2 linked regions of the Pelodiscus sinensis genome follow. The protein of the gene in region 1 interacts with the protein of each later gene in a pairwise test. Links are inferred from orthologs where the notes say so. Each region holds a gene or a part of one and is shown on either strand. Other genes may lie near its edges.

Evidence for each region.
Region 2: the proteins of L3MBTL2 (region 1) and TBC1D9B interact in binary tests that used the Homo sapiens proteins (3 or more experiments, as listed by UniProt). The two-hybrid records come from large-scale screens. The link is inferred for Pelodiscus sinensis from reciprocal best matches to the Homo sapiens genes L3MBTL2 and TBC1D9B.

The regions. Positions count from the first base shown.
Region 1 is NC_134711.1:89,382,545-89,391,478, forward strand, and holds the start of L3MBTL2 (lethal(3)malignant brain tumor-like protein 2), read right to left. Parts: upstream 3,482-8,934; 5' UTR 3,400-3,481; coding exon 3,292-3,399; intron 117-3,291; coding exon 1-116. UniProt on the Homo sapiens protein: Putative Polycomb group (PcG) protein. PcG proteins maintain the transcriptionally repressive state of genes, probably via a modification of chromatin, rendering it heritably changed in its expressibility.
Region 2 is NC_134727.1:34,492,452-34,501,041, reverse strand, and holds the start of TBC1D9B (TBC1 domain family member 9B), read left to right. Parts: upstream 1-5,410; 5' UTR 5,411-5,523; coding exon 5,524-5,641; intron 5,642-8,590. UniProt on the Homo sapiens protein: May act as a GTPase-activating protein for Rab family protein(s).

The sequences.
Region 1 (8,934 bases):
CCCATGCTGCTGTTGTAACCCCGGAAGCTGTCATAACCCCCAAAGAGGTCCAAGTTGTCATCGTCATCGTCTTCATCCTCCTCGTCCTCATCCTCCATCCGTTCCAAAGATGACGTCTTGTAGCAGAAGGAAGACAACAAGTAGCAGAGGAAACCACTCTTCAGAGCCAGAATTTGCAATATAGCCTCAGCACAGTAGGGCTCTCCCATGAGGCGTAGGGAGGGGAAACCTGATGTGGCTGTTAAGGTAATTCTACCCCAAAATCAGGTGTGACTCATTTGGGACAACCCCCTCAACCTGAAGCAAATCCTTTCCAGCAGCCAACATCATCACACCTCATATGCTTACCAAGGAACCTGCCCTTGCTACAAACCCCATTGCCTACTCTGTCCATACATACAAGTGACACCATCATAAGCCCTAACCACAAAAGCCACAACTTCAGAGGCACATCCTCTAATGCGATATATGCCATCAAGTACCAGCAATGCCCCTCTGCAATGTATATTGGCCAAACTGGACAGTCTCTACGACAAAGGATAAATGGACACAAATTGGAAATCAGAAATGGTAACATACATAAAACCCGTCATGTCTCTCAATCAAGGATTTAAAAGTAGCCATTCTTCTACAAAGGAATTTCACTAACCAATTACAGAGAAAGTCTGCAAAACTGGAATTCATCTATACATTTGGCACCTGTTACCTTACTCTAAACAAAGACATTAACTAGCTGGTGCATTACAAAGCCAATTTCTTCTGTCATTAACATCTGCATTTCCACATCAAAAGCTACGTATGGGAGACATCCAGTCCATTTAATTAGCCTCAGTAACATAGGTCCTACAACTGACAGGTGGTACTTCTGATGTGTTTTTATCTATATAGGTTTCTGTTATTTCCACTCCAATTCATCTGATGAAGTTTTGCCCCCAAAAGCTCATGATTCTATATATTCTCTAAGGTGCCACAGGACCACTTGTTTTTATGGTCACTGGCCCTTTTCTGCTCTCAGGTGGTAAGTTAGTGGCATACGCTTTTAGGGCACAGCTATTCAACAAACGGGCTGCAGTCCGTTTGTTTACAGCCCATAGTGTGGTTTGGGTTTATGTGGAGCTCAACACATGGCCCATGGGTGGGATCCTTTGAACATGGCCTCCACTGGGAACATGCTCCACAATGGCAAGGCATCTCCCAGGCAGGATGAGCACTGAAAGATGCAAGCAGACGGGCTGGCTAGAACAGACGAGAACAGGGTGTCAGGAGGAGGTGCCGGGAGCACCGGGGCATTGTGGGAAGTGCTGGTTGCTTAGCCTTGTGGGCAGAGCCTGAGAGGTGCTGACTGGTTTACACTGGCCACATTTGGGTCCGGTGCCGCAGCTTAAGGCTTAATCTTGGTATTTGTGCCAGTCAGTGTGAAAGAAGCTATTTGCATATATTTGCATGTATATGCAACCACACTTAAGTTGCAGCCCTCGACATGTGCTGTGAGTATCATTGTGGCCCTCAAGGCTTCCAAAGTGGAGTAGCCCTGTTTTAGGGTCTGAGCAAAACTTCAGCCTCCAAACATTGTACTTTACATTGCTTTCCCTATTCTTCCCTCCCCAAAATAAGAACAATCACATACATGCTGGGACACAGAGAAACAGATTCTGCCTTGGAGTAAAAATGATCTACAGTAAAACTCCGATGGTCCGGCATCTGATGGTCCGGCACCATCAGGAACCCGGAAGTGCTCCAGGCACCCGGACCATTGGAGCTGCTCTGCCCCCAGCTTCCCCAATTCAGCTGCTGCTAAAACTGACCAGCGGCTGAATCGGAGAAGCCTGGGGCAGAGCAGCTGGAGTGCTGCCGGTTAGGTCCCGTAGTGCTGCCCCTCAGAGCTGCAGGACTCAACCCGGCAGCACCCCAGCTGTCCCCGATTCAGCCGCTGCTGAAACTGATCAGGGGCTGATTCCAGGAAGCCCGGGGCAGAGTAACTCTGCCTCCGGCTTCCTGGAGTCAGCCGCTGATCAGTTTCAGCAGCGGCTGTCTTGGGTACACCTGGGACAGAGCAGCTGGGGTGCTGCAGGGTTGGTCTGGTAGTGCCACGGGTTGGCGCTACCAGACCAACCCAGCAGCGCCCCAGCTGCTCTGTCCCAGGCATCTGGATTCAGCCGCTGTTGAAACTGACCAGTGGCTGACTCCAGGAAGCCCGGGGCAGAGTAACTCTGCCTCCGGCTTCCTGGAGTCAGCCGCTGATCAATTTCAGCAGCAGCTGACTTGGGGACACCTGGGGTAGAGCAGCTGGGGTGCTGCCGGGTTGGTCCAGTAGCGCCGAGGAGCAGGGCTGCGGGACCAACCCGGCAGCACCCCAGCTGCTCTGCCCCAAGCATCCCCAAGAGCAGCTGGGGTGCTGCCGGGTTGGTCTTGCCGCGCCACAGGTCCAGCTGCTCTGCTGCAGGCATCCCCGATTCAGCCGCTGCTGAAACTGACCAGCAGCGGCTGAATCGGGGTCGCCTGGGGCAGAGCCGGACTATCGGAAGGGGGGGTTATGAGGGGTCTGAGGTGGCATCCCACCCCACCCCAGACCCCTCATAGCCCCCCCTTCCGATAGTCTGGCAAATCTGATAATCCAGCACCCCCTGGGTCCTAAAGGTGCCAGATTATCGGAATTTTACTGTATTAAGGCAGCAGTTCTCAAACTTTTTGGGCTCTGGAGCACTTTACATGCGTAAAAATGTATGCAGCGCCCCAGCGGACCCCTGATTATATGATTTGTACCTATCAATGTTTCTAGTTTGTCACCCTCACGGAGCCGCTGAGCACAGTTTGAGAAACACTGTATTAAGGAACACAGGGCTTCAGGCTGCTCCCACCGAGTCTGAACTCTTCCCCAGAGGCAGTGTCAGGAGCACCGTTCACACCTACGGCCATGGGGTAGAAGAACCAAAAAGCCGACAGCGAAGGCGCCACTGAGTGCAGTCCCACCGCTCCAGGAGCCTGGTCTACCCCCAGCCGGGCCCATTGCCGCACCGCGACCCAGACCCTTTTACAAACTGAATTCAGGAAAGCGGCTGCGAAGGATCCTTCCGTGCCCAGCCCCTGGGCGGAGCGGGCTTCCCCGCCCACAGCCTGGCGCCAGGGCAGCGGGAAGCCGACGCGGATCCCTGGGCAAGGCGCTGGATGGGGGCGTCTCACAGGGGCCGCCGGGCTGCAGCGCTGGGCCCCCGGAGTCCCGCGGGGCGAGAGGGGGGCGCCGGGGCGCGCGCAGGGCCCGGGGACGCAGCATCTCTCTGCCCCGCCGCTCACCTCGCCCGGCTCCGGCTCCAGCTCCATGGCTCCCCGCGCCCGGCTAAGAGCAGCTGCGCCGGACACGTGCTGCCTTCCCCGACCAGGCCCCGCCCCACGGCCGGGCATCACACGCTAGCCACGAGCGCGTTAGCTTCACTGTCCCCCATGCACCGGAAAAGCCTATTGGCCCGTCCCTGCTGGCCAATCCCCCGACAGGTTGCTTAGACACAGTAAACGGGGGGGGGGGAGAGCGCCTTCCCGCCGCAGGGCGTTCTGGGAGTTGTAGTTCGCTAAGCCCGGTAGCTTGGCGGAAGGAAGCCACGGGGAGGCCGGAGAGGTTACTGCCCCGCCCGGGCACGGTCTCTCCTTCCGGCTGCGTCATTCTCCCGACAGCCCCGTGCACGTGAGGGGGGGGGCGGAGCTCTGGCAGTGCGCGCGCAGGCGGGGTGGCGGCACGCGCCCCGCCCTCCGCGCCTTGAGGCGGTCGGAGCAGCGAGACGCCGGGCCCCGGGGCGCATCGGTGCCGGGAAATGGCTCCGCCCGGGCAGGCTCTGCTCTCCCGGCACAGGCCCGGCCACTGCAGGGGGGCCCGCCCCGCCCCGCCCCGCCCCGCGTGTTACTTTGCCGGGTTTCCCCTCGGCCCGTTACGCAGCCTGGAGCAGCCTGTGGCCCAGCGGGGCGGGCGTGTGGCCCGTGAGCCATTTTGTTTGCCGTTGCACCCTGGAGTTGGGATTCTGCTGGTTCCCCCCTGTGGGTGTTACTAGTGAGGGGCACGTGCAATGAGGTGCATGCTGAGTGCACACAACACTGAGAGCCCCCGGCTCCTTCTGCAGCCAATCAACCTGCTGCTTCGGTTCGATCGGTGCCCTGCAAATGCTGCGTGTGCAAGTGCAGTTAGTGAAACGACCCAGTCCCGGGAGACTGGCTTGGTTACAACTATCCTGTAGCCCCCTGAGACAAAAGAGGGCCAGTCATGCTGCCCCTCACAAGGCAAAGTTGGCCTTCACTGGCCTAAACAAAAAACAGGACTATGCTGCGCTTTAAAGACTAACAAGATGGTTTATTAGGTGATGAGCTTTCATGGGCCAGACCCACTTATTAGCTCATCACCTAATAAACCATCTTGTTAGTCTCTAAAGTGCTACATAGTCCTGTTTTTTGTTTCAGCTACACCAGACTAACACGGCTACATTTCCATCACTCTTCTCACTGGCCTAGACCATCTAAACTAAAGCAATGTTGTAATGTATTTGCACTGCTGCCTTAATGGCTCTCTTAGCAGCAGGGGAGAGGTTTGCTGTGGTTCCTTCCATAACCTCTCTGCAATGGGGCTCTGAGGCACTTTCCTTTGGGGAATGCAGTTTATATTAGTGATATGCTTGAGTACAGTCTGTTGTCACGGTCCTGGTCCTAACCAATTGGCAGCCCTGGGCGACCACCCAGCTTGCCCATAGGGTTGCCAGATGGTTTAAAAAATATACCAGACAAAAATTTGTTGAGGAAAAAAAAAGGGGGGGGGAGGTCGGGGAGTAACCAGGGGCATTCGGGAGGTCAGGCCAAAATGTGGTCTTCCTGAAAATGGCAGCCCTGGGTAACACCCAGCTCACCCACCCCTAAGACTGGCTCTGTCTGTTGTGGTGGGGTTGCCAGGAGTCCAGTTTTTGACTGGAACACCCACTCTGGTGGCTCCTGTCAGCACTGCTGATGGGTGGGCATTAAAAGTCTGGTTGGCAGAGCAGGCAGGCTCTGTAGCTGGTTCCATGGTGCTCCCAGGAGTTGCCGGGCAGCTTCCTCTGGGTCTTAGGTGGAGGGATAGCTCAGGGGGCTCCACGCACTGCCTCCAGCGCCAGCTCAGCAGCTCCCATTGGCTAGTAACCATGGCCAATGAGAGCTGAGAGGGTGTTGCCTGCAGGTTTGGACAGTATGCAGAACCATGTGGTTCTGTCTCAGTGCAGGAGCTGGAGAGAGATGCCAGCAGCTTCCCTGGACCACCTGAGAACACTGCCAAGAACTCCCTCCCCAGCCCCTTCCTGCACCCCAAACCATAGCCCCACCCCAGAGCATGCACCTCCAGCTCCTCACCCTATCTTGCACCCTGACCCTCTATCCCTGCCTGAACATTGAACCCCTCATTTCTGGCCCCAACCCAGAACCCCCACCACTAGCTGGAGTCCCCATTCCCTCCTGCACACCTGTCCCAGCTCTCTCCTGCATTTCAAACCCTGATATTTGGTCAGACCTGGAGCCCGCACCTCCAGCCAGAGCCCTCACCCCAACCCTTCCCAGGAGTCTGCCTCAGGGTCCTGCAGAACTGCTGGCTGGGAGTGGCCTAGGTAAGAGCCTCCCGGCCACAGCCTGCCTCTGGTACCCCAGCCCCTCCAACATCCGAATTCTCTGCCCCAGGTCACCATCCAAACTCTCTGCACTCCCTCTCCCCTCTTTCCCCAGGTCACAACTCTTTCCCAGACCCTGCACCTCCTCCTACATTCCTGCCCCAGGCCAGAATTCTCTCCTGCATAACCATACCTCCTCCCAGACCCTACACCCCAAAACCCTGCCCCAGGTCACAATCTCCTCCTTCACCCAAACTCCCTTTCTGACCCCACAACCTGTCCTGCACCCCAACCCCCTAATCCAAGCTCCCTTCCACACCTAACCTTCATCCCAGACCCCCTCCATAGAAAAGTGCAGTCCTTGATCACTTACCAAAATCTTGGAGTGTTCTCCCGCCCGCCCCCCCATCAAAAATTATTGCCCACTCTTGGTTTAGATACTTAGAATCATTCTCTGTCCCTCTGCTGCTCATTTTAAAACTGCCACAGAGCACTTAGGGATCTTAACATTGCATCTGAACTGCTCAGATAATCTATTTTGTCCGGGGTGTTTTACGGAAGAACAAATTCAAGCTGGTATTTTAACAGGAACCGAACCAGAACCATAATTTTGTTCTACCCATTGATCTGGAATTAGAAGCGGATCTAAAATGAAAGAATATTTGTGTACTGACTAAAATAAAATTTCAGCATTTTTCAGCTAAATATAATGTCCAATTTGTTTCACAAGCAGCAGGAATATCCCACTCCTCATTTTTCATTAAATATATTTAAAAAAGTGCCCCTCCCTCTTTGACCAAGCAAGATGAATGTCATCATATAAAGCAGAGCCATCCCTGGGGTGAATCGGGGTGACTGCACCCGGCCATGTTCTTGGGAGAGAGCGGGGGGTTCTGCAAGCCGGCACAATTATTTCCAGAACCAATCTTGAAAGTGACAAGATTGGTCCTGGAAATAAAATATTTGTTACTTCTGCCCTGAGCCCCACATGTCCCTCAGGACCCTTCTGATACAAGGCCACTGTATTCAAACTCTCCCCCCAACCCACCCCACCCCACCAGTTTTATATTCTGTTTTTTTTCCAGTTTGGAATTGAAAAGTTTCATGGTTGAGCTCAAACCTGGATTAAAAAAGTAAAGCAAGTTCAGCTGAGCCATTCTGGAGTTATAGGAGCTGGGTAGAAATACATCACTCTAAAAGGCACACTCATACCTTGTTTGGGAGGGGGGATTAGATAATTTTATCCATTGGAGCTTCTGCCCTAATTTTAATCTGTCAGTTATTGTGGGGAAATTCATATGAACACAGCTATTGATTTATTGAAATTGATTACCTACTCTAAATTTAAGTAGATCAGTTGTTTAGGTTTATAAATCATCAGTAAGCACTTGCTACTATACTTTGGCTATTTTATATAACTTAATTTTTAGGGCTGCTGATTAATTGCAGTTATCTCACACAATTAACACAAAAAATTGTAATAAAAAAATCATTCACAATCACAGTTTTAATCATATTGAAAAATAGAATATTAATTGAAATGAAATATTTTGATATTTCTCTACATTGTCAAATATATACATTTCAATAACAACATAGACTATGAAGTATACAGTGCTCACTTTAGTAGTTACAGTAAAAATATATGCACTCTAAAAATATTTTTCAATTAATCTGATGATAGTACCATAGTGCAATCTATTTATCATGAAAGTGCAACTTACAAATGTAGATTTTTTTTGTTACATAACTGTGCTCAAAAACAAAACAATATAAAACTTTAGTACCTCCAAGTCCATGCAGTCCTACTTCTTGTTCAGCTGATTGCTTAGAGCAGGGGTCTCCAAACTACGGCCCGGGGGCCGGATGCGGCCCGCGAGGCCCTCTCATCCGGCCCGTGGAGACCTTTTTGGATTCAAAGGCAGAAGAAGTGAGATTGTTTCAAAACCCATTTGAAGCAGATGTGGCCAGTTGCCCAGATGAACTGCAGCTGGAAGTCATTGAGTTGCAAGCAAATGACCTCCTTAGGGACAAGTTCAAAATAGGACTGGTGGGTTTTTACCAGTTTTTGCCCAAGGAAGACTTTCCTAATGTCAAAACTTTTGCATCAAGGTACCTTTCAATCTTTGGAACAACATACCTGTGTGAACAAACATTTTCAAGAATGAAATACGTGAAGAACAATTTGAGAACAAACTTGTCCGATGATAATCTCAGGTCACTGTTGATGTTAGGGACAACAAATCTAAAGCCAGAAATGTCTGCTATTTTGGCATCCAGGAAACAATTTCACCATTCACACTAATACAGGTGTTCATGTGTAGTGTATGAATGTGTTATTAAATAATAACTGAATAAAATAATATTAAATAAATAATTAAAAACAACATCCATGTTTTGATTGTTTTTTATTTGGACCTCAAGTGTGTAGTCGGCCCCCGAACTGCTGTTTGATAGTTAATGCGGCCCTCGGACTGAAAAGTTTGGAGACCCCTGGCTTAGAGAAAGAAGTTTGTTTACATTTATGGGAAATAATGCTTCCCACTTCTTATTTACAATGTCACCTGAAAGTGAGAACAGGTGTTCTCATGGCACTTCAGCAGTCAGTACTGCAAGATATTTACATGCCAGATATTCTAAATATTCCTATGCGCCTTCATGCTTTGGCCACAATTCCAGAGGACATACTTCAATGCTGATGATGCTCGTTAAAAAAAGGTGACTGAACTCCCTGTGGGTGTACTGCATGTCTTCTGCTCTGTTTTACATGCATTCTGCCCTATATTTCATGTTATAGCAGTCTTGGATGATAACCCAGCACATGTCCATTTTAAGCTCACTTTCACTGCTGATTTGAGAAAACACAAAGAAGGTGCCAGTGTGAGATGTCTAAAGATAGCTACAGCACTGAACCCAAGGTATAAGAATCTGAAGTGCCTATAGTAAATCAAATATAAAGCAGTCCTTATTTGTCAATGATTTGGGGTAATAGAAAGGTTCCCTTGTAACCACTATAAAGGTTACACATGGGCCCTGAAACAAAATGCAGGATCAAAAGTGCTGAGTCAAGGTGTAGTCAGCATTAAGTTTATTGGCTAATATTCTGTTCTAGAGAAGAAAGTTTGGCATTTAGGAGGGCCAAGGGATGTTTCTATGCACTACAAAAAGCTGGCTCTGTGCCCTAATAATAGCAGCTAAGGCATAAGACTGTGATTCTTATGTTTGTACAAAAAATTTCATTCTTTTCTTTTAAAACATCTTTGCATAGCAGTGTCTCACTCTAGGGCTATGTCTAGACTGGTATGATTTTCCACTAATGCTTTTAACG
Region 2 (8,590 bases), on another chromosome or scaffold:
TCTATGTATAATCCCCAGACTACCCTCATGAACCATTACCCTGAGAACAGAAGTCCAAAATACACACACACAAATGGTTTGTAACGTGGAAAAACTGATAACTTATTAGCAACGGACATGGCCTCCCGACGCACCCATACCCCAGCAAGTATGGGTATTTTCCCCTGCTGACCAGGATTCCCCAGAAAATGTAAGTGGCTCTGTGGGAACTGCTTCCTATTTCCTCAGGAGCACAGGAGATGCTGCAGTACATATTGTTTCCTCTTCTAAGAAACAATGGGCATGAATGGAACTGGGAAAGATGGATACTCTCCATCATCTGGCAAATGCTGGACCCCCACAACCTGTTCCAACAGGAAAGTGAAATCTCTCTGGCTACGTCTAGACTGGCATGATTTTCCGCAAATGCTTTTAACGGTTTTAAAAGTTTTCCGTTAAAAGCATTTGCAGAAAAGAGTGTCTAGATTGGCACGGACTCTTTTCTGCAAAAGCCCTTTTTGCAGAAAAGCGTCCCTGCCAATCTAGACGCGCTTTTCCGCAAAAAAGCCCCGATCACCATTTTCACGATTGGGGCTTTTTTGCGCAAAACAAACCTGAGCTGTCTACACTGGCCCTTTTGCAAAAGGACTTTTGCCCGAACGGGAGCAGCATAGTATTTCCGCAAGAAGCACTGATTTCTTACATGAGATCGTCAGTGTTCTTGTGGAAATTCAAGCAGCCAGTGTAGACAGCTGGCAAGTTTTTCCGCAAAAGCACTTGCTTTTGCGGAAAATCTTGCCAGTCTAGACACAGCCTCTTTGTTTTGGTTTGGGAAGAAACACACTTTCTGTGGCCCATTTGGGTGAAGGCAGCATAGGGAGGCCTCCTCTCTAATTCTTTTGCAGGAAAGGTGGAATGCAGAGAGATCCCTTCCAAGCTAGCTCTCAGAGGTTCCTTTACCAAAGGGGGCTAGGACACACGAGCTACTTCTTGTTGCCTAGAGGCTGCAGATGGCACAAAAGGATGCTCCTTGTCTGTGGTAGAGTGCATTCAAACCTTTCCCAGAGGGTCCACTCCTTGGGAATAAGGTTATATTTGGTGCACAGCATACTCCTGAGTAGTGTTCCCTCTAAGCGGAGCACTTTGGTGTCCACCCAGAAGAGATTCAAATGCCTGTCCCAACTGATTAGCAGAGCACCCAGAACCGACAGCATGTGTTTCTACTAGTGGTGAATATCCACATCTGCTTCAGTGGAAATAAAATGCAATCTGCTTATGGATGGAAAAAATTAGAGGGAACATTGCTCCTGAGTAGGCCTGTAAATCCACGGATATCTGCATCCACCGATGTAGATATTTGTGGTTCATTTTTGTGGATACCAATTTTGTATCCAGAATCCTGCAAATTTGTGGATATCCACTTTATAGCCACAGGTATCTGCAAGTCGTCCACAGATGTGGACGCAGATACTAATTTAACTCTGCTCCTGAGTCCCATTTCCCCAGGAGGAGGGAAGGCCTCTCCCTTCTGTCTGGCAGGGAAAGTGGAGGGAGCACGGAGAAGGTGTGTCCTATTCCTAGCAGTGCCAACTCTCAAGATTTTGTCACGAGTTATAACATTTGGAGTTTTGCTTGAAGCCCCAACTACTGGAGTTGTGACTGCAGTGAGAATTGCAGCTTTCGTTTCACAGAATGTACGTTTTTAACCTGCATATTTAGGGAGAAAAGCCTGAAAACATGCACCCTAAAGGCTTAGGCATCAGAATGTAATTTTTTGAGGTGAACTACATTCATGACTGAAACAAAAAACAGTCCTCTATGTAGCACTTTAAAGACTAACAAGATGATTTACTAGGTGATGAGCTTTCGTGGGCCAGACCCACTTCCTCAGATCAAATAGTGGAAGAAAATTGTCACAATTGTTTCAGCTACACCAGACTAACACGGCTACATTTATATCACTACATTCATGATTGTGAGGGCCCTAACTCACAATATTTGAGTGTTTAAAGTTGGCAACACTGTGGTGGTGGTTGGCGGTGGGGGACAATGCAACAGGGGAGGACGTAGGTGGATTAGGAACAGGAGTTTGTGGGGAGACTTCCTATCCTCAGGGGTGTGGTGGAGCAACCTCTGTTGTGGCACAAGGCAAAGGGCTATTCCCCCATAAGGAAGTGGAGGCACTGAGGATGGGGCTATTCCCCTGGCAGGGATGACCTCTGTCATGGCATTAGAGATAAGGGCCAGTCCCCCGGGGATGGGAGAATGTTGTCTGTGGCTTGGGCAGAGGGAGACCATTCCAGCAGGAGGGTCTCTGTGGCAATGGAGAAAGTGGCTGTTCCCCAAGGGTGAAGTGTCTCTGTGGCACTGGAATAGAGGGCCTGTTCCCTAGGCAGAACCGGCCCAAGCTATGGGCTGACTGGGCTACCACCCGGGGTGCCCCATTGTAGGGGGCGCCACGCAGGGCTGCCGGGCACCCCGGACCCAGGGCGCATGAATGGCTCGGGCCGGCCCTGTCCCTAGGGGGTGGGGAAGGGTCTCCTGGGGCAAGGATTACCTGGAGGGAGGGTCTCTGATGCATGGGGGGGCATTCTAGCAGGGTCAGTGGAGGGTTCCTGAGGGCAAGGGACCATCCCCCAGGGGGTCTCTGTGGCAATGGAATGGTGGGGACTGTTCCCCAGGAGGAGAGGGGTGAGTATTCTAGAGCAGTCATGGGGAGGGTTCTCCCGGCAGAGGGACCTTCTGCAGGGGATGGGGGGAGGCCTCTCTGGTATGGGCTGGGCTGTTCCCCAAAGAGTGGAGGAGGCTTTGGGCGGGAAGACTGTTCCTGGGGGGTCTCTGTGGCACAGCGGGTCTGTTCCCCACGGAGTGGGGGGGGGGGGCTCTGAGGCACAGGGCAGGCCATTCCCAGAGGGGGATTTCTGTGGCACAAAGGGTGTGTTCCCTGGGGGAGGGGAGGCTCTAAGGCACAGGGCAGGCCATTCTGGGGGGGGGGGGTCTGTTCCGCAGCGGAGCCAGGGGCTCTGAGGCACAGGGTGGGCCATTCGGGGTGCGGGGGCCGGGTCTGTTCCCCAGGGGAGGGGGGGCGCTGAGGCACAGGGCAGGCTGTTCTCAGGGGGGGTCTGTTCCCCAGAGGAGGGGGGGCGCTGAGGCACAGGGCGGGCTGTTCTCCGGGGGGGGGGTCTTTTCCCCAGAGGTGGGGGGGGCTCTGGGGCACAGGGCGGGCCGTTCTCGGGGGGGGGGTCTGTCACCCAGGGGAGGGGGGCTCTGGGGCACAAGGCAGGCAGTTCTCAGGGGGCGGTCTGTTCCCCAGGGGAGGGGGGGTTTTGGGGCACAGGGCGGGCCGTTCTCGGGGGGAGGGTCTGTCCCCCAGGGGAGAGTGGGCTCTGGGGTACAGGGCGGGCCGTTCTCGGGGGGGGTCTGTCCCCCAGGGGAGCGGGGGCTCTGGGGTCAGGGCGGGCCGTTCTCAGGGGAGGGGTCTGTCCCCTAGGGGAGGGAGGGCTCTGGGACACAGGGCGGGCCGTTCCCGGGGGGGGGGTCTGTCCCCCAGGGGAGGGGGGCTCTGGGGCACAGGGCGGGCCGTTCTCGGGGGGGGGGGGTCTGTCCCCCAGGGGAGGGGGGCTCTGGGGCACAGGGCGGGCCGTTCTCGGGGGGGGGGAAGTCTGTCCCCCAGGGGAGGGGGGCTCTGGGGCACAGGGCGGGCCGTTCTCGGGGGGGGGGTCTGTCCCCCAGGGGAGGGGGGCTCTGGGGCACAGGGCGGGCCGTTCCGGGGGGGGTCTGTCCCCCAGGGGAGGGGGGCTCTGGGGCACAGGGCGGGCCGTTCCAGGGGGGGTCTGTCCCCCAGGGGAGGGGGGCTCTGGGGTACAGGGCGGGCCGTTCTCGGGGGGGGGGTCTGTCCCCCAGGGGAGGGGGGCTCTGGGGCACAGGGCGGGCCGTTCTCAGGGGGGGGGGTCTGTCCCCCAGGGGAGGGGGGCTCTGGGGCACAGGGCGGGCCGTTCTCAGGGGGGGGGGTCTGTCCCCCAGGGGAGGGGGGCTCTGGGGCACAGGGCGGGCCGTTCCGGGGGGGGTCTGTCCCCCAGGGGAGGGGGGCTCTGGGGCACAGGGCGGGCCGTTCTCGGGGGGGGGAAGTCTGTCCCCCAGGGGAGGGGGGCTCTGGGGCACAGGGCGGGCCGTTCTCGGGGGGGGGGTCTGTCCCCCAGGGGAGGGGGGCTCTGGGGCACAGGGCGGGCCGTTCCGGGGGGGGTCTGTCCCCCAGGGGAGGGGGGCTCTGGGGCACAGGGCGGGCCGTTCCAGGGGGGGTCTGTCCCCCAGGGGGAGGGGGGCTCTGGGGTACAGGGCGGGCCGTTCTCGGGGGGGGGGGGTCTGTCCCCCAGGGGAGGGGGGCTCTGGGGCACAGGGCGGGCCGTTCTCAGGGGGGGGGGGTCTGTCCCCCAGGGGAGGGGGGCTCTGGGGCACAGGGCGGGCCGTTCTCGGGGGGGGGTCTGTCCCCCAGGGGAGGGGGGCTCTGGGGCACAGGGCGGGCCGTTCCGGGGGGGGTCTGTCCCCCAGGGGAGGGGGGCTCTGGGGCACAGGGCGGGCCGTTCTCGGGGGGGGGGGTCTGTCCCCCAGGGGAGGGGGGCTCTGGGGCACAGGGCGGGCCGTTCTCGGGGGGGGGTCTGTCCCCCAGGGAGGGGGGCTCTGGGGCACAGGGCGGGCCGTTCCGGGGGGGTCTGTCCCCCAGGGGAGGGGGGCTCTGGGGCACAGGGCGGGCCGTTCCGGGGGGGGTCTGTCCCCCAGGGAGGGGGGCTCTGGGGCACAGGGCGGGCCGTTCTCGGGGGGGGGGGTCTGTCCCCCAGGGGAGGGGGGCTCTGGGGCACAGGGCGGGCCGTTCTCGGGGGGGGGGGGGGGTCAGTCCCCAGGGGAGGGGGGCTCTGGGGCACAGGGCGGGCCGTTCCGGGGGGGGGTCTGTCCCCCAGGGGAGGGGGGCTCTGGGGCACAGGGCGGGCCGTTCTCGGGGGGGGGTCTGTCTCCCAGGGGAGGGGGGCTCTGGGGCACGGGGCGGGCCGTTCCGGGGGGGTCTGTCCCCCAGGGGAGGGGGGCTCTGGGGCACAGGGCGGGCCGTTCTCGGGGGGGGTCTGTCCCCCAGGGGAGGGGGGCTCTGGGGCACAGGGCGGGCCGTTCTCGGGGGGGGGTCTGTCCCCAGGGGAGGGGGGCTCTGGGGCATAGGGCGGGCCGTTCCGGGGGGGGGGTCTGTCCCCCAGGGGAGGGGGGCTCTGGGGCACAGGGCGGGCCGTTCTCGGGGGGGGGGGGTCTGTCCCCCAGGGAGGGGGGCTCTGAAGCGCGGGAGAGTCGCTCCCTGGGGCTCGGGCCTGGCCGTGGCGCTGAGGCGGCAGCTCCCGCCCAGTCCCCCAGGGGAGGCGGCGGCCGTTGCGCGCCGCCATGAGCCGGCCGGGCCGCCAGAGGGCGCCGCCCCGTCGGCTCCCGGGGCTGAGCTGAGTCGGCTGGGCCCCGTCACTCGCCCGCGCGGCCCGGCCCGAAGCCGCCCGGCCCAGCCGAGCCGGCGCCATGTGGCTGAGCCCCGAGGAGGTGCTGCTGGCCGGCGCGCTCTGGGTCACCGAGCGGGCCAACCCCTTCTTCCTCCTGCAGCGGCGGCGAGGCCACGGCAAGGGGGGCGGCCTGACGGGTGAGGGGCCGGGGGGGCGGGCAGGGCCGGCGGGGGGGGGGCTCTGCCTTGTCCTGCCCCTCAGGGCCCGGCTCTGGCTCTGGCTGCCGCGCGCGGTGCCAACGGGATGTTACCTCAGGACCAGTCAAAACCTCATCGGTTTGCGTCGGTTAGTCCCGGGCGGGGCCGGCAGCGGCGCCTCCATCCCCAGGCCCGGAGGGGGGGGGGCTCGCCCCCAGCGCACCCCTTAGCACTTCAGTCAGGCCCCTCCCCCCCACAGGTTGGCGCCCCCTCCCATGTCAATCAGGCGCCTTATGGCTCGGTCCAGCTCTGCTCCCCCGGAGCCCCCTTGGCTGCTGCCTCCGATCCAGAGGCAGCACTATGGGGTGTGAGGTGGGAGCTGGTCCATGAGGGGAGCTCCCCTCCCGGGCTGGCGGCCTGTCCCCCCGTGCTGCACAGCGTGGGATGGCAGCGGCCTCCGTCTGGGGGGAGGACCCCGCGCCAGCCAGAACTGAGCCAGGCTGCCCGCCCGATTCCTAATACACTTTAAATGCAGAGCCGCAACTGGGATAGGTCCTGGACCTGGCCTGACTTGCGCTGCTGGCTGGCCTGCTAAAAAAAAATGTACTGGCAGAGCAGGGAGGTGGGGGGAGAAGAGATACGTGTAGTCTACAGCATCAACCTATAGGCTTTTGCTTATCGGTGAATGGGTTAATCAATTACACTATTACATCCCTAATGCAAACCCGGACCTGCCTTGAGCTGTGAGGTGCTCCCCAGTGTGTACAAGGGGCTGGCTCCCATCCCCCATTAGTGGGGTAGAGAGGCCAAGCCGGATGGATCACAGGCTTGTTACATTTCCAAACAGACACCTTGTAGTTTTCTTTCTCTTTTGTGTGGGAGGTGACCCCTGCGGAGATCTGCAAAGCTGTTTCATTCCCACCCACCGTATTCCACCTTAAAACTTTCTTTTGCAGTACGGCCTACAAAACAACTTGACAAAGGTTAGGCCACTGGCTTGCTGTGACCTCTGCCTGTCCTGCCTCATTGTTTCTTTCTGTTGCCTTGGCTGTAGCCCCACATTGTTTCTGACCTGATACTTCTATTAGGAGCTCTTTGGGGCAGGGACCCTCCTTTTGTTCGGTTTATACAGTGCCTAGTGCAATGGGTCTTGGGTCATGACCTGTCTTCTAGAAACTACCACAGTATTTAAAAAAAAAAAAACCAAGAACAGAAGTAGATGGAATTTTTCTCCATGGTAAAAGATGGTTGTTTGTATAATACTCATATAGTCATGACTTGCTGAAGGATCTTCCGTTTTGCAGATTTGTATGATTGGCAATCTTTACAGGAGTCTGAGAGGTATTATAGCTCTTAAGTGCACATCTGAGAAAGTTTTGTGATGAATACAGTTGTTTTTAGACTTTATAGTTATGAATATTTTGTTACACTTGCAAAATTGAAGCTGTTTGCCGGTTAGTTAGAATTATTCATTTTATTTGTGTGTGCCTCATTTGAGTAAAAAAAATGTAGTGATGGATGTGATCATATAGGGTTTAACTGATATCGATAACCAGTATTTGCAATCATTTTCAGAGCATCCCTCAATAGTATACTTTCATTATGTGATATGCAGAATTAGCTATTGTAGCAGATTCACTCACTTTTCGCACAGCTTCTCACTTTTTTGCCCAGATGACTTCCTCAGGGTGGCTTGTGGGGAAGTCACCCACTTCTCTGACACGCCCCCTTTGAGTGAGGTGTTCTCTTCAGGTCACTGCCCTCCGCTTTTCGTCCATGCCCTCTTCCGGGGGGAGTCACTGTTCTTCTTGTACACCCAGGGTCCTCCTTACTCCCAGAGACCCCTAGCTCTTCCCAGGAGCACTCAGCTCCTTCCTGGAACACCCAGTTTCTCAGTCTGCCGGGTTCCCTCCTGCACCTCTGCCTTTGTGCCTTCTGGCCTAGGGCTTCCCTGGCCTACCATAACTGCCTCTGTGTGAGCCATGGGTGCCTCCCTGCAGCCCGGCCTTTTAGGGCTGCCTCCGTGCAAGCCCCCGCCCTTTATGACTGCCTCCATGCAGCACTGGGCCTCAGGCCGGGTAGTCTGGGTTCGCTGGGCCCAAAGCCTGTGGCCCTGGGGCGGCAGACAGGCAGAACCCTCTCCTCTTCCCAGGAGCTGCTCTTATAAGCTCCAGTTGGGCCCCCCAACTCCAGGTCTCCCAACCCCTTAAAGGGCCAGTGCAGGGCAACACCCTGCTACACTATGTAAATATTGCAAAATGTATAGGTTACATTTATCTACTAATGTGCATACATAATATAACATCTAGAAATGTGGTGCCATTAAAACGACAAATAACTACCACTTCAATTTGTTGGCCATACCAACACATGGGGGGGGGGGGGGGGGGGGAGAGGATATTGTTTGGGTTAACCCTGAACAAGAACTTTTGGTAAAACAAAAATCAAAAGATTTTTCTTTAAGAACATACGAACATAAGAATGGCCATACTGGGTCAGACCAAAGGTCCCTCTAGCCAGTATCCTGTCTTCTGACAGTGGCCAATACCAGGTGTCCCAGAAGGAGTGAATCGAACAGGTAATTATCAAGTGATCTTTCTCCTGCCATCCATTTCCACCCTCTGACAAACAGAAGCTAGGGACACCATTCCTTACCCATACTGGCTAATAGCCATTTATGGAACTAACCTCCATGAATTTATCTAGTTCTCTTTTAAACCCTGTTATAGTCCTAGCCTTCACAGCCTCCTCAAGCAAGTAGTTCCACAGATTGACTATGTGCTGTGTGAAGAAGAACTTCCTTTTATTTGTTTTAAACCTGCTGCCCATTAGTTTCATTTGATGGCCCTTGGTTCTTATATTATGGGAACAAGTAAATAACTTTTCCTTATTCACTTTCTCCACACCACTCATGACTTTATATACCTCTATTATATTCCCCCTTAGTCT